Linked DNA regions of Diceros bicornis minor. The protein of the gene in region 2 interacts with the protein of the main gene of each other region in a pairwise test. Links are inferred from orthologs where the notes say so. Each region holds a gene or a part of one and is shown on either strand. Other genes may lie near its edges. The genes, in order: PTPRF, PPFIA1, PTPRD and PTPRS.

The links.
Region 1: the proteins of PPFIA1 (region 2) and PTPRF interact in a two-hybrid assay, tested with the Homo sapiens proteins (2 studies listed by BioGRID). The link is inferred for Diceros bicornis minor from reciprocal best matches to the Homo sapiens genes PPFIA1 and PTPRF.
Region 3: the proteins of PPFIA1 (region 2) and PTPRD interact in a two-hybrid assay, tested with the Homo sapiens proteins (2 studies listed by BioGRID). The link is inferred for Diceros bicornis minor from reciprocal best matches to the Homo sapiens genes PPFIA1 and PTPRD.
Region 4: the proteins of PPFIA1 (region 2) and PTPRS interact in a two-hybrid assay, tested with the Homo sapiens proteins (2 studies listed by BioGRID). The link is inferred for Diceros bicornis minor from reciprocal best matches to the Homo sapiens genes PPFIA1 and PTPRS.

Annotation. Positions count from the first base shown.
Region 1 is NC_080752.1:6,461,368-6,469,637, forward strand, and holds the start of PTPRF (receptor-type tyrosine-protein phosphatase F), read left to right. Parts: upstream 1-4,937; 5' UTR 4,938-5,015; intron 5,016-8,270. UniProt on the Homo sapiens protein: Possible cell adhesion receptor. It possesses an intrinsic protein tyrosine phosphatase activity (PTPase) and dephosphorylates EPHA2 regulating its activity.
Region 2 is NC_080770.1:3,999,067-4,006,709, reverse strand, and holds the start of PPFIA1 (liprin-alpha-1), read left to right. Parts: upstream 1-4,290; 5' UTR 4,291-4,375; intron 4,376-4,702; exon of another isoform or gene 4,703-5,112; intron 5,113-5,583; coding exon 5,584-5,847; intron 5,848-7,643. UniProt on the Homo sapiens protein: May regulate the disassembly of focal adhesions. May localize receptor-like tyrosine phosphatases type 2A at specific sites on the plasma membrane, possibly regulating their interaction with the extracellular environment and their association with substrates.
Region 3 is NC_080761.1:32,419,965-32,427,292, reverse strand, and holds the start of PTPRD (receptor-type tyrosine-protein phosphatase delta), read left to right. Parts: upstream 1-4,307; 5' UTR 4,308-4,552; intron 4,553-7,328.
Region 4 is NW_026691615.1:2,739,939-2,747,370, forward strand, and holds the start of PTPRS (receptor-type tyrosine-protein phosphatase S), read left to right. Parts: upstream 1-4,133; 5' UTR 4,134-4,233; intron 4,234-7,432. UniProt on the Homo sapiens protein: Cell surface receptor that binds to glycosaminoglycans, including chondroitin sulfate proteoglycans and heparan sulfate proteoglycan.

The DNA.
Region 1 (8,270 bases), on a different chromosome or scaffold from region 2:
CCCCCACAGTCCACATCCACTCACCTTCTTCCTGCCCTCACACTTGCACGCTTGGGCCTGCATGGCAGCGGAGCTCAGAAATCTGTGCTTGCATGCGCATGTGCCACTTCTGTGTGCTCGCGTGTCCTCTCACAGCACCCCTGTGCACAGCCCGGGGAGGGGTGTGTGCACACTCACAGTCTCATGCATTCTCGTGCACACACTTCCTTGTACCTTTTTGCTTGCTCAGTTTCCCCCACATCATCTGAAATGTGTCTGTGGTTGTATTTTCTTTTCCACTCCCTCTTCTCTCTTTCTTTCCTCTAACAAGGAAATTGTTTTAATATAATTCCTCCCTTCCTTCCTGTCTTCCTCCTGCAGCTCCCGGCCTCCCGGCTCGCCAGCCATGTGCACACTGAGGGTGGGGGTAGTGTCCGGGCTTCCGAGAGAGGAGGCTGGATTTGGGTGCTGGTGAAGAAGTTTGGGCTGGGTCTGGGGTACCTGCAGTAAGAGGAGACTGGCGAAAAGTCTTCTTGGGAATTGTATTGATATGCAACAAAATGCTGGCCCTGGCAGTTCGTGCTTCCTCCACTCTCTCCATTCAGCCCTAAGTGTGGGAGTCCAGTCTGGCAGGCCCTCAGTCAGGGGGAGACCTCCTCCATAGAGGCTGTGACACACACTACAGCGCCTCCACTTTCCAGCTTGAGACCTTGAGGAGATGCCTTCCTCCCGAGTCCCAGTTTTACCCCCTGTAAAATGGGATGGCTAATCCAGCCCTGGTCAGGTGCTGAGGCTGTTGTGAGAATCCAGAGGAACTGTGTGTGGTGCAGCAGCAGCAGCCACTTCCCGTGTGACTGACACTGCTGTTCTTGAGCCAAGCTTGCAGCCAGGGCCCTGCCCTTGAGAAGCTCATGGTCCCTAGGGGAACAGTTGCATCATGGGAACGCAGAGGAACTCAGTAACCTCTTATTGATTGGCGACTGTGTGCCAGACTCTGGACTAGGCACTCTCAGCCAGGCTGCCTTGCTTCCTGTGGGAATAACAGCTGTGTAGAAGAGGTGGCCCATCCCTTAGGAGCTGCTGAGGTTGAGTTCAGCATCAGCTTACCTAAAGCGGTGGCAATTCTGAGCTGAGGTTAGGTTGGGGGAGTTCAAAATGAGGCAGAGGGGAGTTCAGAGGTCAAGGTGAGATGTTTCCCAGAGAAGACCAAGAAGAGGCTATCTGAATTGGGTTTTGAGGGATGAGTAGGAGTTTTCCAGTTGAAGGAAGGGCACTCCAGGCAGGAAAAAAAAACAACATAAGACTCAGAGGTCTTGTCACTTGTAGGGGTATTCAGAGATGTAGCAGATCACAGAGGGCCTTAAATGCCCTGTTAAGTAGCTATGATTTTACTCTGAGAACACAGAAGGGAGATACCAAAGGATTAAAGCTTGGATAGGGAGTTTGGAATGTGCTATGATCGAATTTATGTTTCTGGAGGAGGATTCCGTGACTATGGGAAGTGGATGGAGACAGGACGCCCAGTGAGGAGAAGGGTGCAGGTAAGTCAGGTGAGAGATGATGGTAGCATGGATAGGGCGGTGGCATTGAGCCATTCAGAAGGCACATTATTAGGATAGGATGACTTATTGGATGTAGGGGTGAGGAAGAGGAAGGGGTCCAGGTTCCTGGGAGTGACTGGATGGGGCCTTCACTGAGCTGGGAACCTGCAGAGTGGAGGTGGCTTGGGGAGGGGCGGCAGATGGTGATCTCATGGTTGGACCTGTCGCCTGTGAGGTGCTTGGGGCATTTGAGGTCGAGGGTAGGGAGGGAATCCAGGAGGGGGTTGGGTGTGAGGGTCTGGAGTTTGGGAGAGCAGTCTGGGCCAGAGAAAGGAGGGCGCATCATATGAGAGAGTGTGGAGCTGTGTTCCTCAGGAGCAGGCAGCCTCAGTGGTTAAGAGTGCAGACTCTGGTTTCAGACTGCTGGAGTTGAGCTCCTCTTAATAGCAGTGTGAGCTTGAGCAAGTTGCTTAACATCTCTGAGTCAGTTTTCTCATTTGTCAAGTGGGTACAATAAAATTCCATGCCTCATAGGGTTCTTATGAGGGTCAAAGTTGATATGGAGAAAGTGCTTAGAGCAGGGCATGTCGTAAGCAGTGTTCTCCCATTGTTGCAGTTGTTATTGTAATCGTCATCAACGGGTGGTGCACGCCCACCCCCGTCAGAATCACGGGATGGCCACCTACTGCACTTCTGAGCTGAGGTTAGCCCTTTGGGGGAGCTGGGGAAAGGGAGTACACAGCCCTCCTCATCATTTACAGGATTGTGTGTGTTGCTCGGGTGTATCTGACCTTCAGCTGGGCTGGTGTGAGAAAACTAGACCCCATGTTGGGAGAGAGTAGAAGGGGATTCTGAGAAGGGGCAGCCTCAGTGGGTTCAGTGCCCCATCCCCACCCCCTGCCGGGGCCCTGGGCATCTAGTGAGGTTCTTTCCTCCCAAGTCCGCCTCTGAGCTCCGGAGTCACCTGGACCTCCAGCTCTGAGAACAGCTTCTCGACATGTTTTAGCTGCTGCTTCTGGGGACTGTTCCTGGCGCAACCATAGGGGCTGCCTGGGGGCTGCTCCAGAGGAATGTGGGTGGTTCTCTAGTGTTCAACTTGCTACAGCTTCCAGGCCTGGCAGATGGCAGAGAGCCCTTCGAGGGGCGAGCCCCGGGTTGGTGCCGAGGCCCTCTTACCTGATCTAGGTTATGGCTGCCGACCTTACCCCGTCTGAGGCCTCCCTGGGTGCCAACAGGTCATTCCTAGCTTGGGTCCAGTACCCATCAGGCCCTTTCCGAGTAGGTTTCTACTTGGTCTTCTGGATGTATCCGGCAGTCCAGAGTGGTTCTGGGTGCTGCTGCTGCTGAATCTGAGAGCTGATTCTCATTGCCTGGCTAGGCTGTTTGGGGACCAGTCTGCTCCAGGACTGATGTGGTTGCAGGTGCTGGACCAGCTCTTTCTGTGTGCTTTCGGATCTTTCCAAGTGCAAGGTGCGGTGCCTGCTTTATCTCTGACCCGCCTCCAGGCCACTTGGGCACACACCTCTTTCCATTGTGGCTCCTGCTCAGTGTAGGTCCAGGCACCAGGCCCAGTGCTGTGAGTGTGGCCTTGGGCGTGGCAGTAGTGCTGGCTAGTGTGGGGGACCCTCCCCTTTCTGCGCCTTGGACTCTGCTCCTCTGCCCCTGGGTCCCGAGCAAGTGGAGCCAACAGTCTCACATCTGAGGCCCCACAGGCGTCCCAAGACAAACGGGCCTTTGAGTTTGGGACACGGAAGCTGGTTTGTCTGGCCAGACCTGCCCGGCAGCCTGTGTGCTGGGAGCAGCGGCCACAGGGAACTTGATGGAGAAACTCAGTGGGCTGGGGGAGAGAAGCGTGCCACCATCCTAAGGCCCAGGACATTGGTTCTAGGTGGGGGGCAGGCGAGCGAGGGAGGGGGGAGAGGGTGTGAGCTCCAGGGTCAGCGTGGATGGTCCCGGGTTGGGGAGGCCCGTCTTGGTCAGTCAGGGTGGGCCTTCCGTCCCCTTCAGTGAGGACGTCCCGTGCATTGGCAGAGGCGGTCAGTCTCTGGTGAGGATGGTTCCGGGTGCGGGAGGCTGGCCTCGGGTCAGTGAGGGCGCTCCCTGGCCCGGGTTCCTGGGTGTCTGCTTTGGGGGGAGCCCGGGTGGCAGAGCAGTGTGGGGCGGGGATGGGGTGCGTGTGGGGGCGTGAGGCCGAGGAGAAGCCCACTGCGAGGCGCCTCCTGCGTCCAAGTTGCTGAGCTGCTGAGCTGCGGTGAGGTGGTGAGGAGACGGTGTGGGCGTGTCCCACCCTGCCCCCACCCAGGACGGTGCCTACGCTGGTGGGGCTCAGAAATGGTTCTAGAAGGAAGGGGCCGGGCTCTGTCGCTGTGTGTGTGCCAGCGGAGGAGACATCCAGGGGTACACCTTCATTTTAAAAATTACAGAGAAGCAGGAAGTCAAAAATAAATACTGCTTTTGAAGCTTCTTTGGAGGCTGCATGTATGCTGGTGAGGTTCTTCCAGGCTGGGCTGTTTTCCATGAACTCATTCACGCATTCATTCACTCATTCAGCATATCTTGACGGAGCACCTACTATGTGCCGGCTCGCTGCTGGGTCCTGGGGATGCAGAGCTGAGCCAGGGACACTGAGCTTATGGTCATGACTCAGCAACTGTATAAATAAATAAATCATGGCATTTGTGGTCACTGCTCCAAGGCAAAGTCCAGGCGTGTAGTCTGGGACATCATGGAAGGCTTCCCTGAGCAAGTGCCACTGGCTCTGAGATCTGAGGGCTATTGGCTAGAAGAACTTGGGTAGTGGGTTCCAGGCAGTGGCATACAGCTGGGCAGATTGGAAGAACTGTGGCACATTTGAGCATCAGAAGAGGAAGTTCCTGCAGTTAGCTGGCGGGAGGGAGCATGGGGGCTGCAGAGGTGGGCAGAGCCGTCTGCCCCACTCCAGGGGTATGAGGAGGAGTTTGGACACAAGTTTTACCGCTGAGGTCAGGAACTTGGTCTGTGTTGTTCCGGCTATATGCTGGGTGTCTGGAAGAAAGCCCGGCACATAGTAGGTACTCAGGAGTACCAGTGAGTGAGTGAGGGAAGAGATGGGCGGCTCTTCAAGAAGTGAAGTGGCTCTTACACCAGGCTCTGTCTGCTTTTCCATTCACCGTGTTTCTGTAGAAAAGACTGTTCCTGTCGACTGTAGGTTGTGATAGAAGGAGCAAGGTACCCACAGGATCTGGGGTACATCCCTCGTCTCTTTGAGGTCCACTTCTCCTCCTTTCTTTCTTTCTTTTTACTAAATGGAGATCATCCTGCGTGAACAGTTCTGTAACGTGCTTTTTTTGTCCTGCATAAACAGCATATTTTGAATGTCTTTCTGTGTCAGTACATACTCTGCTGTGACGAAATTCTTGGTGTTTTCCTCTCTCTCCAGGAAGGAGCAGAGGCCCTGGTGCCCAGCCCTCAGTGCTGGTTGTCCAAGAGTGACTGGTGTGAGCAAGCAAAGACCTGGTGAGTGTGCCCCAAAGTGTGCTAGGGGCAGGGGTGCAGAGGGGTCCCGTGGGCCAAGCTGAGCAGCTTGTATTTTGACCCCGGCTGGTGGAGAGCCATGGGAGGCTTGTCACTAGGGGCATGACGTGATCCTGTGTGCATGCAGCTGAGAGATGATGGAGGCCTAGACCAGGAAGGTGGTGATGGAGGTGGAGAGAAGGGATTCGAGTGCTATTTAGGGAGGTGGAGTAGACAGGACACGGTGAAGGATTGAATGTGGGGCGTGAGGGAGGGGAGGTGTCAAGGATGGTGCCTGGGTTTCTGGCCGGAATGGATGATGGCGGTGGGTGGGGAATGATATCTAGCTCGTCAGCTGCTGTAGGTGTGAAATAGGCTTCCGGGTGACATCCTGGGACTTACACCAGGATCTGTCTGCTTTTCCATTCACCGTGTTTCTGTAGAAAAGACTTCCCATCAACTGTAGGTTGTGGTAGAAGGAGCAGGGTACCCACAGGATCTAGGGCACATCCATCCTTGTCTCTTTGAGGTCCACTTCTCCTTTCTTTCTTTCTGCTAGAAGCACAAGCGAGTAGGTTGGAGTTGCAGGGAACGAGGTTGGAGAGTTAGGCTGGAATCAGAGCATGATGGGCCTTGGATGTCAGGCTGAAGACTCTAGACTTTTTCCTGAGGGTGATATGGAGGCATTGAAGGTGCTTAAACAGAGGAGCAACATCCATGTGTTCACATATCCATTTGCCCATCCATTCATCTATTCAGGAAACATTATCTTCATGTCCACTGTGGAATAGGTAGCAAACAAAGTGTGCTTGAGGGACGTGATCAAATTTGCCTTTTTGTAGCTAAACGGGGGCATTGGTTTGTGTGTAGAATGGATTGGAGGGAGGGACCAGAGGCAAGAAGCCCACTAAAGAGGTGGGTGTGATGAAGTCTTACTAACATGGTGGTGGTTGGGACGGAAGAGACAGGGCAGATTCAGACTTACTGACCAGTTGGGTGTGTGGGATGAGGAAAAGGGAGAATTTGAGGAGGACTGGTTGGCGTGGGTGACCAGGTCGATGGTGGTGCTGTCACTGAGATGGGGACCTGGAGGAGGGGCAGCACTGGGGTGGATGAGTTCTGGTTGGGCCATCCTCTGAAGGATCCCTGAGGGCAGAGCCCATGACCGTCTTGTTCATCGCCTTGCCTCCTGGCTCAGGGCCCAGGAGGGCTCACTGAACAGTTCTGCACGGACAGCTGAATGGAGAGGGCCGTGGAAGAGATGGGTCTGGCCTAGGCAGGTGAAGGAAATACGCATATATTGGGTATCTGCTAGTGGCCAGACCCCGTGCGTGGTGAGGTGGGCATTGGCGTTATTTAGAAGGTGCAGCAGGAAGGGCCGTGTCACAGGTTGGAAAGGTCAGATGGGGCGAGTGGGTGTGGGAATACCATGTGTCCCTTCACCTGTCCATCCTCAGAGGATGGGTCTGACCTACCTGGGAGCCCAGTCTCACCAGAAAAGGTGTCTGAAAGTGGAGCCCTCTGTCCTCTGGAGAGGCCACTTGCTGATGGTGTGTCTCACGGGGTGGGGTGAGCTGTGCCGTGAAGCCCAGCTTCTGGAGGCAAGGCGGACTTGGACGGGGAGGGGAAGATGCTCTGAGATCCCGAGGCCCAGGGACAGCCAGGCTGAGGCCTCCTTGGGGACAGGGCTCAGGGTGCTCATAGGGGACTGGGTGCTGGGGCAGGGGCCAGGGCAGGCCCTAGGTCACATCAGCAAAAGATCTTGCTGTCTGCCTCAGGGTTTCTCAACCTCAGTCCTGTTGACATTTTGTAGCAGATGATCCTTTTTTGTGGGGGGCTGGCCTGTTATTATAGCATGTCTGGCAGCGTCACTTGTTTCTTCCCAGTAGAGGCCACTAGCACCTGCCCCTGCCCCTGCCCTTGATAAATGTCTCCAGACATTTCCTAATGTCCCACGGGGGGAAGAATCACCCTGGATTGAGACCCACTGCTCTACACCACCTCTTGCTGCCTTCACTATGCTATGCAAATCTGGAAAACTGGGGAGGGTCACTCAGAGAAGGTTCATAGTGATGGCCCACTGTGCTGAGTTCTGAGGAGCAAGCAGGTGGCTGGGGGTGGGAGAAAGGCACTCTTCCCAACAGAGAAGAGCAAGTACAGAGGTCTGGGTCAGCCACGCTGGTGAGCATTAACCCGAGGGAGGAAGGAGGCTGGAGGGCTGGGGGCAGAGGGGTTCCAGCTGTGGGAAGGTGTCACCGCTGGTCCCCTTGGTCTTCTGCCCCTGGAGCTATGCCTCTGCTGGACCTTGTGCCACCCCCAGAGACTCTGGGACGCTCCTCCTAATCTCCCCCTCCACTCCCAGGGGAGACTGAGAAGCTGAGGGCTGTGAGAGGGCGGGGGCCCAGCAGCGGGAGGGCAGGCGGCTCCCAGACTCTGGCCCATGGGCTGGGAGAGGGAAGGCAGCGGCTGCCGGCCACCTCCCGGGGCTGGGGTCACGGCTGAGCCTCTGATTTATTCCTGTCATAATCTGGCGGTTGGTTTGGTGAGAGTTGGAAACATGTTGGTTTTCCCTTCCCAAGTGTAACAAGGCCTCTTTCCGCCTCCGCGGCTGCTGCTGCAGTGCCACGCGGTGAACTGTCCAGGACGTGACAAAAGGGCTCGGTTAGCCGCTCACCGGTTAGAAGAGGAATGGCTCCTGCTCTCCTTGCCCTCGGGCTCCTCTTGCCCAAGCGCTGGCCTCTCCTCTTGGCCAGTCGCTCCGTGGGGCCCTGGATACCCCTCTTTCTGCTGATGTCCATTCTGGGACCCCAGCCTCCTGGGAGCCAGGGTCCTGGCCTGGGGAGAAGAGGGAGAGGAGGCTGTAGGAACAGGTGGTATTTGGAGACTAATTAATATTTATGAATAATGACACGTGCCCAAGGGAAACAAATTAATCTGTGTTTGCATATTCATGAGGAGGACTCAGAACGATCCCAGCTGTTCTTCAGCCGGGGATACCCCCCATCTCTGGCGTCACACCGTCTCTCCAGGCCCCCCACTGAGGCTGGCAGGGGTGGTGAGGTTTGGGCCGCATGGAGGTGACATGGCCTCTGTGTAACATGCATTTCCATGACGTTTGTGTTTGAATCCTGGGGCTTGGTGTGGTTTCTGCTCCTTCCTTTTCCCTCAAAGTGGTGATTCTCAGGCTCTTTGATTTCACAAACCAGTACAATTTCCAAAAGTACTTGGGGGCCAGACATGGCTTGGCAATTTTTTATT
Region 2 (7,643 bases):
GCTGAGGAAGACCGGTTCTGAGCTAACATCTATTGCCAATCCTCCTCTTTTTTCTCCCCAAAGCCCCAGTAGATAGTTGTATGTTGTAGTTGCACATCTTTCTAGTTGCTGTATGTGGGACTCGGCCTCAGCATGGCCGGAGAAGCGGTGCGTCACAGAGCGCGCACACTTAACCGCTAAGCCACGGGGCCGGCCCCAAATGTGATTTTCTTATCATCACTTCACCCAGAGGTGTCCGTGCTCTCGGGAACTGAGATGCACCAGCCAAACTCCCGACAGGCTCATCGTTGGACCAAAACTTTAGATAATTTGTTGACCGTGAGAAATTGAACTGTCATGGAAACCGGAACACTCTGGCTGATGATCTCACCTGTTCAGCAGCCACTCAGACCTCAGTTTCCTCATCTGCAAAATGCGAAGGATACCGGAACAGCCACGTGGGGAAGTATTTTAAGAATTAAATGAGACAAATAAGTAAAATTTCTTTCCCTTTCTCCTCGTTTTCCCTCCTCCATCTTAGCAGGGACACAAAGGTAACTCAAGTACAGACTCTATGGCTAAAGTCACCAAGATAATGAAGCCAGGGCCCCATCTCTTCCGCAGGGGATCGGACTACTGGGGCAGCACTGGAGACCCACTGATAACATGCTTATTCTTAGTTGTCCCTTAAAGAGACCACTCCTCAGTCGCAATAGTGTGGCAACTAGATCTGGAATCAGTAGCCCCTGGTTCACTCAAGGCTCCAGTCCCAGCTCTGCCCCAAATGAGCTGGGCGCCAGGAGGCGAAGCATTTTCGCATCTCTGGGCTTCAGTTTCCTCCTCTTAAAGGGAGGGCCACATCTTCCACCACCCACCCCCAGCTCAGAACTTCCCCTGACTGTATTGTCACACCACCATTCATTAGGCGGCTTTACATATTCTAGATTTGGGACACACTCAGATCTCTAGGACAGGATGGGCTACACTCTGTTCTCGCAGGAACCCTCTTCCTGGGCTGCTTACATTTCTAGAAAGGAGAGGCGGCCCGGTCATGCTCAAGGTTGACAACTAACCACTTCACCCAGAGAGCCCAGGCTGGCGGCACATTTGGGAAAAACACACCCCTGGAGAGAGTAATGAACTCTCCACTCCGCCCCCTTCCGTTTTACCTTATTTTCTTTATCAAAACCTTAACAGAAGAATCGGAGTGAAAACATTTTCTATGTTCATGGTTTTCCTGACTGTGGCTTACAAGGATGCTAGACAATCTCTGAAATGTGTTTCAGATAAATACTTCTGGGAAAAATTTAGGTTGGATGGTATAGATAACTGCATCGAAAAGTCATTTTAGCTTCCTGAAAGCAATTCTCCATGGTTCGTTCTTGCCTAGGTTTTGTTAGAGTAACATTTGTGGGGTTTTTCTCCCCCTAATGATAAAAATAATGCACATTCAAGACAAAATATCCGCCAAGTACAAACTATCACAAAGAAGGAAACGAAAACTACCCACAGTCCCCCTCAAAGACAACCACTGCCAACATTCTGATGTATCGCTTTCCAGGAATATATATGTATATGTATATAGAAAGAAATGTAAAAACCTAATTGAATACAGTAACAATATTTTCACACAGACATACGTTTTTCTTTGACAAACCTGAGACTTAAAATTTAATTTCACTTTTCGAAAATATTTCACGTAAAATTCATTTTATTACAATTTTATCACTTTAATAACATTCTAGAAGTTTTCAGATACAAGATAATAAATTTTACCCAATAGATTCTTCATCTAAACACAGACTGTTTTTTTTTTTTTGAATTTGGGCTCACACTGTACATACTTGTTTATAACTTGATTTTTTTTTAAGTTTTTTTCCCATTTTTAAAAATTGGGGATACCTTACATGTTAGTGTACAGTTCTGTGATTTTGACAAACACATATGGTCTTGTAACTACCACTACAATCGGGATAGAGCATCTTGTGTGTCATTAGATAAAATATGACTGTGTCACCGAGCTTTCTGTCATTTGGAAGTGCAACAATGTAACCAATCTCTTTTTGTTGGCCATTTAGGTTGTTTACAGTTTTCCTCTTGCTGATTTTTGCAATCTGAGGGAACGAAATGAAGGAATGAAAATGAATGAAATCTGAGATTCTCATATTCCTGGAGTTACACCAAATGAGCTTCTCCCTTCTATGCTTGGAAAATCGCTCATCTTCGAGACCCAGCTCAGATGTCATCCTCTCTGTGAAGCCCCCAGGATGACAGCTGGAGAGTTGGTTCCTCCTTCCTCTGTGGTCCCACAGCACCAAGTCACACCTGTTTATAAGACAGACATTGTAACACTGTTTCTCTTCTTCCTTCCAGGCTGTGAACTGAGGGGAAGTGATGTCTTAGAAAGCTCTGTGTTCCCCAAACCTAGACCATGCCTGGCTCACAGTGCTCTAAAAATGTTCACGAAATGAATGAACCTTCTACCCTGTTGAACTAAATTTTGGTATTGTGCCGATTTCTTAGAAGACAGCGTGGTGTAAATATGGGCTGGATGAATTAAGCTGGTACATTTAAGGAGAGCTGGAAATTTTCTTCTGTTCCAGACCCTGGCTCAGGTGTGCAAATTTATATTTATTTGTAGTCAATCAACAAATACTTATTGAATGAACAAATACATGAATGAAAGGAAGGTGTGGTCCTGGACCCTGGGAAGGAAGAAAGCCAATCAGAGGTTGCACTTGTTCTTGGTGAGCTGACAATGGGGAATGAAGGAATTGCCTGGGAAGGATTCACCCACCCCTCCATGCAGGCTTTACTTAGACTTGGCGAGTTCACGGGCACCTGGCTGCCTCACCACCGACAGCCAGACGGTGGCCATGGCGCCTGACAACGATGCCCTCACGTTTTCGGTGTATGAGGAGTTTGTGCTCCAGAAGTCAAATCCTGAGCAGAGAGCATCTTCTTTAATTTATTAAAAATGGATTTTTTGTGTGTGTGTGTGAGGAAGATCAGCCCTGAGCTAACATCCATGCTAATCGTCCTCTTTTTGCTGAGGAAGACCGGCTCTGAGCTAACATCTATTGCCAGTCCTCCTCCTTTTATTTCCCCAAAGCCCCAGTAGATAGTTGTACGTCATAGTTGCACATCCTTCCAGTTGCTGTATGTGCGACGTGGCCCCAGCATGGCCCGAGAAGCGGTGCGCCAGTGCGCGCCCTGGATCCGAATCCGGGCCACCAGCAGCGGAGCGCACGCACACAACCGCCAAGCCACGGGTCGGCCCAAAAGTGGATTTCGTAATCTCTGTATCTACAAGATCTAGCACAGGAATTGGCAGACAGCAGGTAGCAGGTGCTTTAAAAAGTCTGAGTAAGGATAAACTATGAATAAGAAGGATAACAACGTTTGAGAAGGATAAAAATGACCACCATTCGCAGAGCGCCCCAACCAGGTTCTCAACGAGTCTCTCTTTATAAGTTCTATTCCTATAACAGCCCTGGGGTAGATCTGTCTCCTCTTCCCATCCTACAGACGGGGCACTTGATCCCACACGGGTTCCCCTGGGTTGCCCAGGCCCACGCTGCAGGGATAAATATCTGCTGGGAGTTGAACCAGGTGTGCTGGCCCCAAAGCCTGCATTCTCGACCCAGCGCCCAGGAGCTTCGACATCAAACGCCCATCTCTGCCTCCCCGAGTACAGCAGGTGAAGTTCGGTCAATGGGCCTTGCGTAGAAGCCGCGTCCTTCCGAGTCCTGTGAGGGTCGGTTCCGAGGAGAGGCGACGCCGCGGGCTCCCCCCGGCTGCGAGCAGGTGAGCTGCACCTGGGCGCGCTCTCCAGGAAGGCGTGTGGACGTGACATTTGGGAAGTGTCTGGATGCACGCTCGATAACGGCCTTCGGAGTCCCCGTGGCTGTAGGAAGAGACCTGGGGGCAGCCCCCGAGGTGGAAGATGCTGCGGGGCGTGAGGACCAGAGGCCGGAGCCGCGGCTCAGCCGAGGAGCCCCCATGTGGGCGGGGCCTTGGGGCGGGGCTCCGACCGCGCCCAGCCAATCGCAGCCCGCCCCACCTTAGGAGGCGGCGCTTGCGCACTCGGCCGCCGCGGCGCTCTCCCGGGGCGGGGGGCGGGGCGGGCCGGCGGCGCTCGGTGCTGACGCTGCGCCGACGCGCCCGACGTCGGGCACGTTGACGCCGGCGCCGCGCAGCCGGGCCCGCTCCTCCTGCGCTCCGCCAGTGTCCGGCCGCGGGCCGGCCTTAGTGACCGGGGGCCGCGGGCGCGGGCGCGGGGCGGGCGGCGGGCGCCGGCGCGGGCCGCCTTCGTCGGGCCCCGAGCTCGCCCGGAGCGCGCAGCCGCCCGCGAGCCGCGGCGGAGCCTCCTCGCCCGCTCCCGCCGGCGAGCAAGGTAAGGGAGCGGGAGACTGAGGCCGGCGCGGGCGGAGCGGGGCCCGGCCCGTCCCTCGGCGGCCGCGCGGCGATTCCTGTCAGCCCCGGGGGGCCGGGGCGCTCCGGGCGCGGGGGCGGGGGCGAGGCCCGCGGCGCCCCCGGCGGGACCCCCGGCGGACGCGCCCCCAGCCACGGGCTCTCGGGGCCTCGCGCCGCCCTCTGCCCTGACCCCAGCGCTAGGTGACCCCAGCTCTCGGTGACCCAGCCCTGGGCGCAGGGGGCGAGGACCTGTGGCCGCAAGAAGCCCCGGTGTCCGTGGCTCTGCAGCACCTGCTTCGGATGCGAGTGGGGTCGAGGTCGTTGTCACTGTCCGGTGTGCGGTCTGGGGCATCCTCTCTCGGGGGTCGCCGAGCCCCGAGCCCCGCCGGCAGCTTCTGGACCGGCCCCGCTTCCCCTCGCTCCGTCGTTATGTTTGAGTCACTTAATAGCCTCTCGTAATCTCACCTTTCACTTTTCCTACCTTCCCAGCCGTCCACGGCTGTTATTGACCTGCGGTATTTCCATTGTGGAATTTTTTTTTTTTTTTCTGGGGGCTGTTACCTTACGTAAGTCAGGTTGACTGGCCAACCCTTGCAGCCGTTGAGAAACACCTCTCCCAGCCCTTGACGAATCCAGTTCCTTTTAGCGCTCACCAAATCCAGCCCAAGAATTCCGGGAGCCGTCAGTCCTTCCCAGGAGCTGACTGCACACATTCCTGTAAGATGCCCGACAGATTCTGTACTTGTCAGTTTGACTGGCTGTGTGCTCTTTCTGTGCTTTTCCTGAAAAACGATTGGGTAGCGTCTGTTTTGACTTCCTCTCCCCCACCAGGAAATAGAAAAACAAGAATAGGTTACAGAAGCACACTTCTTTTCAACAACTAGAAAGTACACCCGTGCAAACAAAATGCCACAGGGTTTGTTCTTTAACTGAGGCATAGTCGTCTTTGGTCTTGACCCCATGACTGGATTGTTGTCTGTGTTGGTGTCTTGATCTCAAGTGTTCCGACTCAGGGTTTGCATGCGTCTCTGTTCCCAGCGCACTTATATACAGAGCTTAACAGTCAGATCTGAAAAGAGTGAGGCTGACAGCCGTTCATGGATTAGCTGCAGATAGCTATAAAGTTGCAGATTTGTGGGAGACTTTACTTTGCACTTAATGACTGTAGTTTGGGTCTTTTATTTCAAGATGATGTGCGAGGTGATGCCAACCATCAGTGAAGCAGAAGGCCCCCCAGGAGGAAGTGGGAGCCATGGGTCCAGCTCCCCTTCGCAGCCAGACGCAGACTCACATTTTGAACAGTTGATGGTGTCCATGCTAGAAGAGAGGGACCGTCTTCTTGACACACTGAGAGAGACTCAAGAGACGCTGGCATTAACCCAGGGGAAATTACACGAGGTTGGCCATGAAAGAGACTCCTTGCAGAGACAGCTCAATACTGCACTTCCACAGGTATGGATGCTTTTCACCTGGAACTTGACAGATGTTTTTCCACTAAATGTTGTTGTATGATGTCCTCTTCTATGGTATTACTATCTTAGATGAGTATTTTGCGTAACCATTTGTGAAATGGTGGTTCTGATATTTGTAAGCCACGTATAGATAAAGTTCCGGAGGATTAAACGTCTTAGGGAGAACAGACTCTGTGGTGCTCTAAAGTCATGTGAAAATACCTCATAACTCTTGTTCCTTCCTTCGGGGCAGCAGAAGGAACTGCCTAGATTCAAGAGAGGGCTCCAAAGTTTTTGAAATAGGGCCATGGGGCAACCAAGCTCTGTGGTGCCTTCCGATCTATTGGCTTAAGCCACTTCTTGTGAAATGTGTATTTCCCACGGGTTTATCCTGTATTTCCAATTACATAATGAAATTTAATGGACAAATAGGATTGATTTCACAGAGAAAATATTTTTGCAGTCTGCCTTTATTAGAACACCTGTGTTTTCTAAATGAGATTTGTTTCAGGGGCTGGAAGGCTGGAGATTGACTCCTTTGGAACTGTCTCCGTGGCAGGTGTGAGTTACGAAGCTTAAAGTCACACTGAGGTTGCTAGTCTGGGTATGTTGCATTTGGACCAGTGTGTCAAAGCCTTTTCTTCTGGAGCTGAGTGAGGGTTTAATGGTGGGTGAAGGGAGAAAGTGTCACCTAGAGAAGTGGAAGGTACCGGCACAGGGCATGTGGGAGATACGTGGGTTTTGGGGTGCCTCTGAGCTGTCTGGGGGCCTTTATGGTGCTTTCGGGTGGCCTGAATGAGCGTCTGCTTGTACTCTCCTGATGGGTCTGCGGTGGTGAATTAGGAAATGAATAATTACCAGCCTTAATGCGTTTCTTGGCTTTAGTCAGTTCTCCTGAAAGATTGATAAGCCAAACATTTGGATTTCCTTTTTGGCAACAATAATTTGATATTAGTGCTATAATGTTCCTTTTTTGTTGAGATAGAGAATCATTACGTTTTTTCTCGTTCAAATCTTATAAATTACCAAGTTTGTTTAGGTCAGATTTTATTACCACAAGCTTAAAAGGATTGGCCAAATTATGTTTTACCAGGATTTTAATGTATTCGTAAATCTTTTCAGTAGTTTTGTTTGTTTTTGTAACTGTGTTTGTTTTACTGTAATTTGAGGTACATACACTGAAGTGTATATCAATTCTTCCATATTTGATAAGGTAGTTTTTTGAGGGAATGAGCTCAAGGGACAGAGCAGGGAAGGGCCAGTTTGGTGTGTACGGTCTCAAGCAGTGGAGGCTGTCCCACCAGCGGGAGGAGACAGTTGCTCAGTGATTTGTTTCTAGCGACTGCTCAGGGTTGTAGCTGGAGATGCCTCGTTGAGTGGAGAATGTGATGATGTCGGCAGTTCACCTGAGCACCACGTCCAGCGTTTCAGCAACACAGGAACCAGTAAGTAAGCGCTTTGTGGGACCCTTCCCTTTCCTGGCATTTGTCTCAGGTTTGGTGGCTGATATTGTGACCAGATAGGCATATGGTGAACTGACTGCATTTGTTCTCCTGGCCCATTATGTAGACCAGTCATACTGTGCTTATACAAAACTTAGCTATAACACATCAGAAAATTTCACAGTCATGAGTGTACATTTCATTGAGTCGCTAAGTGAACACACTCGTAACCACTGCCTAGATTATGACATGAAATGTTACCAAGCTTCCCAGAAGCCCCCTCCTCCCTACTCCCAAGAATTGTCCCCCAAAGCTAACCGTGGTCTTGACTTTTCCCTATAGATTACTTTCCCCT
Region 3 (7,328 bases), on a different chromosome or scaffold from region 2:
TACTTTATATGTGGATATCTTGTGTTCTCAAATGAAATAAGGTATTGTTTAGTTTAGGGACTATGTTTATATATATTTGATTTATCTTTCTCACGTGCCACTTCTGTGTTGGGGACAAGAAGTAAGCTATGGAGAAACGCTGTATGAATTAAATTTGAAAAACTCTCTGAAATAAACATTTTAACTCTTGTAGAGATTAATATTTAAGTTATTTGAGGATTAAAACCATTCCTTATTATTCCATTTATGCGTGTAGCAGCAAATTAATGAAGTATTTTAGGCACAGCTAGCACCTATAGGAAGAGGTCTCAGATATTGATTTCAGTGCTTTATGACACTATTCACTATCTTCAGAGTATGCCACTTGAACCTAGGTTGTGATTTCTCCATTCTAACTGGATTTAATACAAACCACTATAGCCCTCACAAAGAAAATACGATCAGCAACAATTATTCAATTCCCTAAATAATAATTTATAATCAGAATAGAAGTAAAAACACAAGATTTGAAGTCAAACAGATGTAAGTTCGAAATCCTAGCTTGGCCAATTGCTAGCTAGGTCAGCTTGGTCAGATTACTTACCCTCTCTGTTCCCGTTTCCTCACTTAAACAACAGGGCTAATAATACTTAACTAGCAGGGCAGTTGTTAAGATTCGAGGTGAGGCAGCATCTTTGAAACTTTTTCTTTTAGTCACTAGCCACATGATGGAAACATAAGTTTTACAAAACTACTTAGTACCTATAATGCACTCTTCTTTCCTTTACTACATGCATACTACTTTCATTTCTTTTGCTTAAAGATTTGTTCGTGACCCACAAAAGGTCATGATGTGCCTTTTGAAACACAGTGAGATAGCCTGATGTTTAGTACGTAATACAAGTGTAACAAGTGATTACTATTATTGTTATGATTATTTTTAGTCTTCTTTTTAGGATGCTTCATGATAGATGAGAGTAAAATCTTTCGAGTACTTCTAGGAACTAACTCCCTTGGATGGGATCCAAAATAGACTCATACTCATCAGATGCTGAATTATGCACTAGAGAGGGTTGTGCTATAGCAAAGCTCCTGTGTGCTATTCATTACAGATGTCAGAGCTGGAGAGGAAGTAAGAAAAAGTCTAGTTCCATTGCTTAATTTTCCTTCATGGAAGTAGAGTTTTACAATATTCTATATTTATTGCTCATCGATAAGTTGGAAAAACAGCTTCTTTGATCCAGAACTGGGAGGTAATTAGGAATAGCTGGGGGGAGGAGGAGACTAGATCATATCTGGATTTTTGTTCTGCTTCTGCCACCAAATAATTGGGTCACCTTAAACTCTCAGGGTCTCAGTTTCCTTACCTATAAAATTAGGTGATTTCAACTCCTAATTGTTGATAGCCAGCTAGATCTGGGATAGCCTCCCTCTGATGTTCTTTGACTTCAAATCTCCAAATGGCAAACTATCCCAGAGGTTGTATTAGAGTGCCACGGGGCGCTGGTTTGTCATAAATCTGCTCTGAAAGCATTAATATGTGTATATTGGGCTGCAGAACACTACTCCCACCACTACTCAGATGTGCAGAGAAAGTCTGTCTCCTTTGTTTGCTTTATCTCCTCTTCCTCCACAGCATCACCCTGAATAATGCCATCTCTTTTGTACAATAATAGCTCAGACTCTCTAGTCACCTCCTCGACTGCTACTTCTTTCTCCAAGATGTTTGGTTGTGGTGGGACAGGAACGTCTAGGGCCTCATGATGTCATGTTGGGTCCTTGGGCTTCTGTCATTTACTTATACTGTCCTCCGTCTCCTCTGATTTCCACTGCTTGTTGCTCACCTTGGGAATGATCACTGCTAAATTCTCTAGCTAACTTGCTGCCAGTGGGGCAGGTTGATATTTCCTCAACGATGCTCCCAGATAGCAGTCACACTTCCCTACTGGGATCTTCTTAAATAAGGTCAGATCTGGTCAGATCTTCTTAAATGAGGGATGTGTGTCTCTCCACCAAAGACAACAGCAGAGGAATATTAGGGTTTTAAAAACTTTCTGTCTGTTCCTCTAACATCCAACTTTGCAAGAGGAAAATGAGACTCAGTTGATGGGGGAGAAGGTGGCAATGAGAAAGCCAATTCAGAGTTTAGACCTTGAGTGAGAATCACCTATGGAGGCTCAGATTTTTGGATCCATCCTTAGGGCACAGGGAGGAGGAATCCACCATACCTGCTCAGCCTTTCAGTTCCTTGTGTCATCAGAAAGACTGGAGGGTAAACCTGGCTCTGGGGGCTCGCACAGGAATAGATTTCTTCTTGATTTTCACTGTAAGCCTAACCATAAAAAAAGAACAAGGAAGAGTCATGCCAAGATGATCCTCCCCCCCCCCTCAAATTGCTGGAAAACTAAACTTCATTTAGCAAGACTCCTTTCAAAAATACATGACTTCTTTTTGGAGCACACAGGGGGCAGAGGATTACTGACCAATCCTTCAGTGCCTTTCAGGAGCACAGCATGCAGATGGTGGGAACAAACGGGCAGCTTGAAACAACAGTCAGGATGCGGGATCATTAGGCTGAATCTAAGGGGGTCTGCTTACCTTTGCTCTTTCAAAGACAGCCTTGGGCCTGCAAGAATAAGTATTGTGTGTATGTGCTGGCCTGAACACAGAATGAGCAAGAGAGGTGGCTGGAGGCCCTGCCTTTATTTAACCTTTCTGACCAAGTTTCAAAAAAAAATTTTGATAGGCCAATTGCCAATGGTGGCTTCCAGCCGCTGACTTCTTCCACTCCTAGGAGGAGTGAAGAAGGTTGAAATTCGCCTCTTAGCTAACAATCCACACAGTGTCTGCTGTGGATGAAGGGTTCTGTGGATGAAGCTTGTGTAGCTCAACAACTGAGCGCATGTCTAGGGAGAGGGTTTTATGGTGTCCTTCAGAGAAGTGGGGGAACACTGCATTTCCAACATCATAAAAGCAAGTGGCATGGAAGCAAAACAAGTTATTACACTGATTAATTCGATATTTCCCTTTCTTCTTCTCTGACTCCAAAGTGGATCCTACAAGCATCCCAGAATGAGGCTGCCAAGGTGAACTGGGGCGGACACAAACTGTCTCATCAAGGCGCGCTCTTTATGTTATCATAACTGCTTGGAATGGGGCGCGAGCAGCATTTTTTTCTCCCGTGCGCGGGGATGCAGAGCAGGAAGCGCCCGGGTGTGCATCTCTTAGCAGATGAGTGAATTTGTTAGAAGGGGTCTTTTCTGGCCTAGTGGATGAATGCTGGAGAGTGACGTCACCCCGCCCCCTCCTCTGTGAGAGAGAGAGAGAGTGTGTGTGTGTGTGTGTGTGTGTGTGTGTGTGTGTGTGTGTGTGTGTGTGGTGCGCCTCCTTCGCCCAGCTCTCCTGCCTGCCCCTCCTTCGTCCAGCTCTCCGGCCCTTTCAGCGGGTCAGTGGTCCAGATTCAGCGATTCGCCAGCGGGCGCCGCGGGCCTGGCTCTCCCCGCGCCCCGGCGCGCCCACACTCCCACTCCGGCGCTGGCAACGCGCGCACACAATCCTCTAGCGCTGGGGCACCGCGATTCCGTGGGATCCCCAGCACGTTACGAGGATTTTAGAAATCACCCAGAAAGGAAACAAAGAGAGAAGCTTTTCCAATCACTTTCCCGAGCTTTTTCATTTAATTTCCCCACCAAACCACCTCGCCTCCAACCGTAACCACCAGGTTCACGCCAGGCCCAAGGACTGGGCTGGACTGGCCATCCCACGTCCTGGCCCTCGACTCCTCTCGGGCCGGTCTCCAACCGTCGCCTCGCCCCCTCTCCTCCGCCTCCCCTCTTCCCCCGCCGGCCTCAGTTTCTGGTTACCTCTCGCGTGCGCTTCACTTTTGGGGGGAAGAAGAGACGAAGGGGAGGGAGGCGCTGAGGGGGGCAGCCGAGTTGCTATTTGTGGCCAAAGAATCCTCTTTAAAAGCAGCAGCAGCAGGAAGGAGGAAAGAGGCGAGGCGGAGGCAGGAGAGGAGACGCGGCCCAGGACCCCCCAGCCGCGAGCGGCGGAGCATCGAGGAGCGGGAGGAGGCAGAGCAGCAGGAGGAGGAGGGAGAGGAGACACACAGCGGCGGCGGCAGCCGGGGAAGCGAGCGCTGGGCGAGCAGGAGGAACGGGAGGAGGAGAAACCGCCGCGGACGCCGCGGGCTCAGAAGGGCCAGGAGGACGGCCCGGGAAGACGAGGAGGAGGAGGCGGAGGAGGAGGAGGAGAAGGGGGTAGGGGTGGAGGGAGGGCGGGGGGACGCGCTCCTTTGGATGCTGGATTTCGGGTTTTTGGACTCACTCGCTGACTCTCCTCCACTTCCTCGCTGTGGACTGGGCTGGCCGCACGAGGGCCGGGCGGCGGCAGCGACCAAGGGGACTTCGGCGGCGGCGGCCGCAGCTCCGCGGGATTAAATTGGCCGCCCGGAGGCGGCGGCTGGGGCAGGCGCGGGCTGCGCGGCCGTGGCGGGGCGCGAAGGCGCTGGAGGAAAGTGCTGGTGGCGGCGCGGGAGGCGGTGGCGGCGGCTGCCCGGAGCCAACATGACCAGGTAAGTCCCCGAGCTGACCCGGTCCGCCCCCCTGTGTCCTCCCCTCTCCGCGCCTGGGGCTTTCCCTGAGCCCGGCTCCGGCAGCCCGCGCCTCTCGGGCCGGAGCAACGCGCTCCCGCGTCCGCGAGCCCAGCGCCCCGGCACCGGAGCGCACACAGTTGTCCTCTCTGAAGCTCCTTGGGCAGAGGTCCTCCACTGCGCGGGTCGCTTCTCACTTAAAGCTTCGGACCAGGGAGAGTGGCAATTCTGGAGAAAGAGGGTGTTTGGATATGTGTATTTGTGCGACCCTCGCTCTCTCCTCCTGGGGTGGGCGTATATTGGGGGAAATGTGGAGCGGTGGGGCAATCCGACCCTACCCAGGGATTCTGCCACTGCATATATTTTTTTAAGAGGCAGTGATCACTGTTTAAGGAGGGCTGGTTGTGGTGAGGGGGCGATTTCTTTTTCTTTCTTTCCTCTGAACTAGTGGGGAGAAGGAGAAACAGCAGGGATCAAGTCTACGCGGCTGCCATAGAGGAGGGGGATTGTTTTGGAGACCTTTCCATGGCAGAATCAGAGCTCGTAGTTCTGCTACGGGAATCTGCTGTTCCTACACACTCATCCCGTAGGGAAGGGAACGCAGAATTTACAATGAAAAGCCCAAGTTGTAGGAAACAATTTAAAAGGAAAGCCACTAGTAAACCAAAGGTTCTTTGCTTTTCTATCGATTTATTGTAGTTTTTATATAGGCATGTAGAAAACTTGCCTTGTTTATCTGTGAGGTTGATTTGCATTTAGAAGCATTAACAAATGAAGTCAGTTTTCTTATGCTTTTAAAAAATTCTTGAACCCTAATTGTGAGCTTGGCTTTCATTAATTGGGTGTTCCAGGGTTCTGAATAGTAGTTCCATTCTCCAAAACCCGGAATATCACAATCCACTTGCATTGTTTCCAGCTCGCCTCCCAGTACACGACTTGCCAAATGTCTCCTCTGTTTTCTAAAATTCTTAGAGTGATCCCCCAGACCAATCTAGAGGAAGCACCCCGGGAAGATTCCTGAGGGATCGCTCTCCCTGTATTTTCTCTTAAAGTTGTTTTTTTTTCTTCTTTCCTTTTACGTGCCCACAGACACAGTGCCAGGACTTAGAGCGTAGGGAACACATTTTGAGCCTCTCAGAGACTGGTAACTGCTTGTGACTTCAGATAGATTTGCTGTTGGACTTCCAGAGCTACAAATGGGAACCTTTCTCTTTGGTGTGCTCTTTCCAGCCATCCTGTAGCACACATGGGGAGTTAGTCCAACTGTAGACAGTTCTAACCATTTTGGCTATTCCATCTGTGTTTCAAAGTGTACACACCCACTACTCAACTTGAGTAAACGCGGGGTGATGTACCAAAACTTGAAATATTCTGATTTAAAGGAATGTTTAGATGATACCAACTTAAAAATTATGTAATATCGGTAATATGATGATATCCAGGACAATGCCTAGTAGATATTACTCTTATTTTGAAAACATATTCAGTTATATGCCACAGATGGATATTATTTTATTGAAATAGTAAAGAGAGAATAAATTTTCAGGGCTTGATGTCCGAATTCTTGAAACAGATGTCCTAAATGGACAATAGAAAGAAAATTTCCCTACCTCCCACCTCCCATAATTATGTACTGTACTTTGCTTTTCAATGGAGCTAGCAGTTCTGTGACAGATTTCTTAAATTCACCCTCATGCTATCAGCTATTATTGTACTTTCAAAGTGTGAAATTGACAACCTGGTCAGTTTCATGAATTCAGCTGTCAGATTGTGTCCAGTTAAAAATTGCTAAAAGCTGTAAATGTGCCTGCCTGGAATTTTCTTTTGTAAAGGAAAGACAGCAAAGAGTTGAGGATTAAGGGGTGTTGTTAATTGTAGATCTTTTAAAATAGATTCACCCCAATGTGAGTTTTATCACTGGCTGTTGTTAGGAAATACATTTAGATTTCTACTATTGTAAAAGTGGCATTCTTTTTGTATCTATAGTTCATTTTAAATAGCGAGCACTTTGCATAGAAATAATCTGTTCATAAAGCCTTCAGTAATAATAGTGTAATAGGAATGAGATTCAAAGAGGAAAAGTGTCTCTCGAAGACGTTTTAATATATATGAGTAATATATTACTTTTGTAATGACATGTAAAGAGGTGGATGAATTAAATATTTTATTGTGGAGGTTATATAACACAAATTCTTTGCGGACCAGTGCAGTTGTAGTTACTAAAGTAATGAAATGCAGTGATCTATTTTAATATATATGTATTTCAGTCGATAACCATGAAACTACTTTAAGTATTAAATACAGTGATTTGATTTGCCTTTTAAGGTTGGCATTCATTTAAAGCTAGAATATCTCAAAGTGAGAACTAAGAATCGGAATCCCCTCATCTGCTGCTATTTGCTAAGCCACTAGGGGCCTGTATAACTGTTCTTATATCCAGGAGACATCCTTGTATGGCATATGCAAACCCTTCCTAGAGAGACATTTAAAAAAAATTCAAGTAGGCAGTCCCCTAAGTTTTTATTTTGTCCTTTTTAACCCATTAACTCATGCTCTGATGTTAGTATAGACATTGATTGAAGCGTCTTACAAGAACATTATTTAGAGCTGCTCTGAAACTATGGTGGTGTAAGGATGATTTTTCATATGGAGTGTGAAACATAGAAGAGGTGTTTGTGCAAATTCATATGTGATCCCAGTTTCTCAGTGTATGTCAATGATAAACAGATAGGAACATTAATAACTTTTCTTTATTGGA
Region 4 (7,432 bases), on a different chromosome or scaffold from region 2:
TCTATTCTTATGCCAGTACCACATTGTCTTGACGACTGTAGCTTTGTAATAAGTTTTGAAATCAAGGAGTGTGAGCCCCCAAACTTTGTTCTTTTTCAAGATTGTTTTGGCTATTCTGGGTCCCTTGAATTCCCATCTGGATTTTAGGATCAGCTTGTCAATTTCTGCAAAAAAGACAATTAGGATTTTGATAAGAATGGGGTTGAATCCATAGATCAATTTGGAGAAGATTACCATCTTAACAATATTAAATCTTCCAATCCATGAACATGGGATATCTTTCCATTTATTTAGGTCTTCTTTAATTTCTCTCAATGAGGTTTTGTTGTTTTTATGGTATAAGTCTTGCATTTCTTTCGGTAAATGTATTCCTAAGCATTTTATTCTTTTCGATCAATTGCAAATGGAATTGGTTTCTGAATTCCATTTTGTTTGTTTATTGCCACTGCTTCGGAAACACAATAGACTTGTGTATTGATCTTGTATGCTGCAGCCTTGCTGAACTTGTTTACTAATTTTAATAGTTTTTTAGAGGATTCCTTGGCATTTTCAATCTACGAGATGATGTCACGTGCAAACAGAGAGAGTTTTACTTCTTCCTTTCCAATCTGCATGCCTTTTATTTCATTTTCTTGCCTGATTACCTGGCGATCACCTCCAAAACAATTTCAAATAGGAACGATGACAGTCCTTTTCTTGATCTTAGGGGGACAAGGTCCAGTCTTTCACCATTAAACATGATGTTACCTGTAGATATTCTTTATCAGGTCAAGGATATGCCCTTTTATGTCTATTTGTTGAGTGTTTTTATCACGAAGGGCCGTTGAATCTTGTGAAATGCCCCAGCTGGGGTTTGAACTCATGTCTCTCCGACTCCAGAGCCCCAGCACTTACCTGATGCACTAAATCAGTGGACCCCCAAAGGAGCCCCACGTGGAACCCAGTAAAGAGCGGGTGTTCAGCAAATGGGTGTTCCCGTCTGCCCCTTTTCTCTTGGGCATTCGAAGTAAACTTGCAGACAGAGGGAGAGAGAGAGAGAGCATGCAATGCTTAATTTGAAGGAATGTGCAATGATGGTGGAATCTCTTGCACAGAGCAAAGTCGTAGGGGAGATGTCTTCCAAGGATTCAAGGCTGGGTTCTGTGCAGACAATCCTGCATTTGGCGTGAGGAGTCCTGTTTATATATTGTGACAGGCAGCTGATGGTTCCCCTGGAATTGTCTCAACGAAAACACAATGGAGCTAATTACCAGGTTCTGGGAGACGCTGGGGCGGAGGCTGGGCTGGGAGGGAGGGAGGAGGAGGCTGGGAGGGTGAGGGAGTCCCTCCACCCCCCCAGCAGAAGATGGAAACGTTCTTTGACTGAACTTTTCACCCAACAAACAATGAGTCACACCCACAGCTTGCCGCAAAAGAGACCCAGAGCCCACCACGCCCCACCTCCCACTTCTAGTGTTTTGCACAGTGTGGATCTTGGACGTTTAATCCATGCCCCCAGGGAGGACATTCTCTCCTTGGTTCTCTTCAAGTTTTGGCTTGCAGGAAGTCTCGGTTTGGTGTTACTGAATCCTTAACACCTTTCTGACACTTGCCAATCTTCCAGGGCTGGCCAGAGGCTGCAACAATATCAGACCAGAATGTTCTGTCCTCCTGGTATTGATTTTTATGGTCACCCGGCTAGCCATCCTGCTTTTCCCATTTACGGTGGCCACAAACTATCCCTTCTTGAGTCTATATTCAGTGCCAAGCGCTTGGCATGACATAACTCATTTTACCCTCCCAACGACCTCAGGAGATAGAGACCATTACTATCCGCCATTTACAGATGGGCAAATGGAAGCACAGATAAAATGGGGAGACAGACAGAAAACGAACTGGCCAAAATATAAAATCATTCCAACTTGTAATAAATAATATTGTACTGAGATGAAGATGAACTTCAGCAGGATGGTTAGAGAGAATCTCTCAGAGATCTGAAGGATGAGGGGAATACAGACATGGGAAGAGTAGGAGGAACAGCATCCTAGGCAAAAGGAACAGCCAGTGCAAAGGCCCTGAGGCAGACTGTGCCTGATGTTTGCAAGGAACAGCGAAGAGGCCGGTGTGAGTGGAGTGGAGTGAGCAAGGGGGACAGCTCGAAGAGGTGAGGGCAGGGAGGTGATGGAGGCTGGTCATGCAGGACCTTGAGGGCAGTAAGGAGGAGCTGGGTTTTTACCCAGAGTGAGAGATTGTCTATGTCCTCCGTTGGACTAGTAACTCCTGGAGGACAGGAATTTTTTAGGCTATTTTGTCTACTTCCGTGTCCCAGCCCTTAAAACAGCCTGGCACACAGATGGATGGCCTGAATGGATGGGGTCCCCGGGCACACGGCTGTACTGTGTTTCATATGTGTTTTCCTTTGCAGCTCGCAAAAACCCTCAGAGGTAGATGTGGTTGTCTCCTTTCTGCAGATGGGAACAGGGAGGATCAGAGTTACTTGTTCCAGGTCCCCCTAATAGGTGGCAGGGCTGGGGCCCCTCCAGAGCCAGCAGGCTCATTTCACTCTGCCTCCATCGAGGATGCAAGGCTTGAGCACCTACTGTGTAACGAGAAACCAGGCTGAGCATTTATGCACAGACCATCTCGTTTGACCTTTCAAGAAGGGGTTGTGTCCTCATTGCTCGGATAAGAAAGCCAAGACCAGATTGTCAACGGCTAGGCCGGGGTCACTCAGCCAGGAAGGAGGACAAAATAGACTCTGCAAACCTGGCCACTGCACTGGCCGCTGGGAAACTCCGAGCTTAATTTAGGCTCCTTGTTTAATTATTCATCCTCTCCTCTCTCTTTTCCTATTTATGACTTCCGCCTTCTCATTTTGTTCCCCGGTTAATGCCTTTTGTTTATATCTGCATCTTTGGCCTGGAATGAATGAATCAACGATTCCTCCTCACGATTTTGGAGGAAAAAACCCCAAATTCTAAACTTGAGTCCCTTTGTGGGCACAAGGCCCTCTCCAAATGCGTACCTGGAAGAAATAAAACGCTTTCAACACGTTCAGAACACAAAGACCCGATGGGCACTTTGGTTTGGCGTCTTTGAGCCCACCCACGTCCCATGGTCATCTTCCCCTTTTATTTTTGTCTTTTTTTTCTCATTATCCCATTTTCAAACACCAACTACAGGCCAGGCAGGTGCATTATCACAATTCATCCTTACACTCCCCTTGTGAGCAGGGCCTACCTCTCCCCATTTCACAGACGTGAAACTGAGACCCAGATAAGCAAACCCATTTGGCAGGTGGGAAAACCGAGGCTCAGGGCCCCCCCACAGCAAGTCAGTGTCTGATCTGGGATTCCCACGTGGTTTGTCCTGACTCCAGGGCAGTAGAGGATGGTAATTAGGTGGGGTGTTTATAAAGTGCTTACTCTGCAGGAAAGGCTCCCTCATCCATCCCTTCAATCGTTCAACCAACACACCGGGCCCCATGGAGTCACACCCTCGTGTGACCAGAATAAAAACAGGCTGATGGGATAGAGAATGGAGAGTGGGGTGGCTCAGGCGGCCGTGATCAAGGAGGGCTTCTCCCAGGAGCAGTGTTTGAGCAGAAACCGGAAAGATAAGGGAAAGATCTGGGGGGAAGACGATTCCAGGCGATGGAACAGCACTGAGTCGGGAGTGAGCAGGTTGGAGGAACTCTAAGGGGCGGGCTAGGCTGAAGCATAGAGACCCGGGGGCAGAGTGATGGGTGCGAACGCGGACAGATGGGGCTGGATTTTATTCCAAGGGCACCAGGGAGCCACGGCCGAGTTTAGAGCGGAGCATGGGAAGCACCACGGCCTTGGTGCCACGCGCCTCGGGTCTTGCGCGCGCAACCGCGGCCGCCAGGGTCCCCCGCCGCCCACGTGTCCCGCGAAGCCGCGCGCCCCACGTGCTCCCGCGGCCCTTTAAACGCCCCCGGGCCACGTGACCGCGGCGCGGCGCGCGATTGGCCGGGGGGCGTGGCGGCGGCGCGGCTGCGCAGTGACGCGCGCCGGCCGGCGCCGCCCCGGCCCCGCCCCCGGCCGGCGGCGCTGGCGGAGGGGTGACGTCACCGGCTGGGGGGGCGCGCGAGCCGCAGTGAGTGTCCCCGCCGCCCGCCCGGCAGCCCGGCCGGCGCGCGCACGCCGCGGGCGCTCGGGCTCCGCGCGGATCCCATGCCACGGCCGGGATGTGACGCGGGGCAGAGCCGGGGAGCCCAGCCCAGCCCGCCTGCAGGTACGGGGGGCAGCGAGCACCCGGATTCGCGGGAAGGAAAAGGCGATGCGGGCGAGCCGCCGGGGGGGCGCGGAGCGGCCGAGTGGGCAGCGCGCCGGCTTTGTGCGGGGAGGCTGCACGGCCATTGTGCGCCCAGGATGCTCCGCCGCAGCCGGCCGGCGCCCGGACAGTGCCCCCGGGGCTGCGCCCGGGCGCGCGGGGCCGCGGGGAGGGCTCGGCGGGCGGCGCGGGGGGCCGCAGCGGCCGGGGGGGCTGCACGCGCCCGGAGCGCGGCGCTGGAAGCTGCCCAGCGCCGCCGGCTGCACCACCCCGGGCTGCGGGCGGGGCGCAGGCGCGTGTGCCGGCCGGGGTCCCCTCTGCCTCCGAGACCCAGGGGGCGCTGTGCCGGGGGCGCCCCGGAGTGGAGACCAGCCCGGGACGGGCGGCTCGGTGCAGCGAGGGGGATCGGCCGGTGCGCCCAGGGCGGCTGTCCAGTCCCCCTCCCCTGGAGACCCCCGACGCGACGCCGTGTCCCCCCAGCGCCCTCCCGATCTCATCCATCCTTTGGGGGCGGGGGAGCGCCCCTCCGGCGCCCTGGCCTTGCCCCACCCTGCTGGGGCCCCGGCACCCCTTCCTAGCCCCCCAGGCGGGGCGAGGCGCAGCCCCCAGCCCCTGGGACTCCGGCGGCCGGGCGCGCGCGTCGGGCACCCGACCTCCCCTCGGCGCTGGGGACCCCCTGGGGATCCCGGCAGAGGGGAAGCCGCCCCCGGAGCCGCCAGCCCCGCGGGTTCCGCGCGCCCCGGGAGCCCCCTCGGGGGGCTGGGAGAGGGGGAGGGTCGGTGACGTCATCCCGGGGGCGGAGCCGTCGGAACCGGGTTGAAGGGGGCGCCTGGGGGGGGCGTGCCCTGAAGGGAGCCCCCCGAGTTAGAGTGCCCGTGCCCGGGGCACGAGGGTTTCGGCCGGGCTGCGGCCAAGTTCACTGCTCCTTGTGGAAATCTCGCCCAAATTTAGGATCACCCCCTTGGTGCCCCCCGCCGCAAATCTGGACACTTCCCCACCACGAAAACCCCCTAAATCGGAGAGCTGCCTTTCAGCCGCTTTCTCTCCAAAATTCTCAATACGGGGAACCCCCTGCAAACTGGAATCTTTTTGTTCAGCCACACCCCCCCAAATCTGGAACCTCCTCCGTAGTGACCCTTCCCCCCCATTTCAGATTCTCCTCTAGGAACCCCGTAAATATGCAGATTTTGAGAACGTCCCTTCCCCTGCAACCCTTCCTCAAATTTAGCCACCCCCTAGAGATCTCCTCCCCCCATTCACAAGCCTCCCAGCGCCTCCATGTGGGGGGCACTCTCGTCCCCCTCTTGGGCTCAGCTGGGATTCCCCTGTCCCCCCATCTCAATCTCGGGGAGTCCCCATTCTGAGCACGGGGCCCTTCTGCCTCCGGACAGACCACTGCAAAACCAGCCTGGCCAACCCGGCTGGTGAAGGGGGGTGTCTGAGGTCCAGACTGGGCATTGGGACTCTGAGAAGCAGAGATAAAGCTGGAGGGTCCCCGAGGGTCTCCAGGATAGGGACCCACCCGCTCTGGGCCCCCAACAGCCTCCACCTGGACTCTGGCTGCTGGGGTTCTGGCCTTCTCTCATTGTCACCCATCGCTGCCGTCTCTGGGGTGCAGGGGGCGAGGACCGCTTTTGTTCGGGGCGCTCTGCCCTCCCCTCGGAGCTGTCTTCTCCCTGCGAGGAGACAGCCAGCCCGCGTCTCTACTCCTGATACCAGCTGCTGCCGAGGGAGCTTTTATTAATGGCCGAGGGACTCGGTGGATTCTGCCATTTGCATAGCTCCCCTCCCCCTCCCAGGGTCCCCTTCCTTTGTGCCCTCTCCCCCTGCCAATCCCGCCCGCCTTCTGTCCCTCAGCTCTTTTCTTCCTCTGCCAGCTGATACTTTGGCTGCAGAAGGCAGGCAGCTGGGGCTGGGGGCGGCTGCTTCCCGCCCCCACATCCCAGACCCCACCAACTCCGGTCTGGGTATCTCCAGCTGGACCCCCGTGTCCCCGCACCATGCCCTCCGCTGGGCATCTCTTGCCGCCTGCTGTCTGCCCGTTTCTCCGATCTTCCTCTCCAGACAGCTCCTTCCTGCCCTGTCCCCGGGGCCCGGGGGGGCACCTTCACCATGACGGTGCACTTCTGCCTGGGGCCCTGGCCCCCCCAGCCCCCTGGGGGCTGCCACCCGCTGTCGTGGATCGCCCAGAGAGTTGGTATAATTGGGCTCAGGGAAACAAAACGTCGCGGGAGACCTGGCCTGCCTGGTGAGCTCATGTGCTTTTCTATTCCTGCCACCCCGGCCGATGACATCGACCCCCCAGGGGGTGACAGGGGCGGTGCTGGCATGTCAGAGTGGCCTTCCTGAGAGGCGATGGCCTGGTCCACTCCCCACCCCCTCCGGGAGGTGGGGGAGGGGTCATTCTGGTGTGGCGGGGTGTGGCACTGGAGGGCACTGCTAGGGTGGCGGGCTGGGCTCTCGGGGATCCCTCCTCCCCCAGGGTCCCCTGCAGCCCCTGAGCTGGGCGTGTGGTGGGTGCAGAGAGAGGGGGGCACTGAGAGCTGGCCCCTGCCTGCTGCCCGCACAGAGATCATACTTGTGTTTCTATCTCCTTCGAGCATCTTCCTTTTTACCCGCTTCCCCGGGGATTCCGAGCATCTTCTCGTGTCCGTGGGCCCCCCCCCCGGAGACACGAGGCGTTTTTCTCCCAGCACTGGCTCTGGGCCGAGGTGTCAGGAGTGGGTGGAGGGGGAGAAGCTTCCCGGCTGTCCTTCGGTGGTGGCGTCTGGGTGGACAATTCTGGAGCCATCACCATCCACCCATTTTCTTCTTCATCGGGTGGCGCAGAGCATGGGGCTCTGCCCGGCCTTCCCCAGACCTGGGGCCAGTCCAAGAGACACATCCACCTCCGCTCTGGCCGTGGCTTTCTGGGGGGGTGCCTCAGTTTCCCCTCCCGCCTCCAGATTCGCACTGAACTGTATTTCACAGGTGTGGGAACACGGCTGTCGCCTCCACCTGCCGCTTCTAGGAGCCGGCGCTGGGAAACCTGTGGCTCACCTGATTATTCCAGCGGCCGCGTGGCCCGAGTGGTGGTCAGCGGAGGTGGCCAGGGAGAGCGGGCAGGGACGATGTGACTCCCAGGCGCCCCGCGGCCCCTGGTTCACCTGCTTCCTGTGAC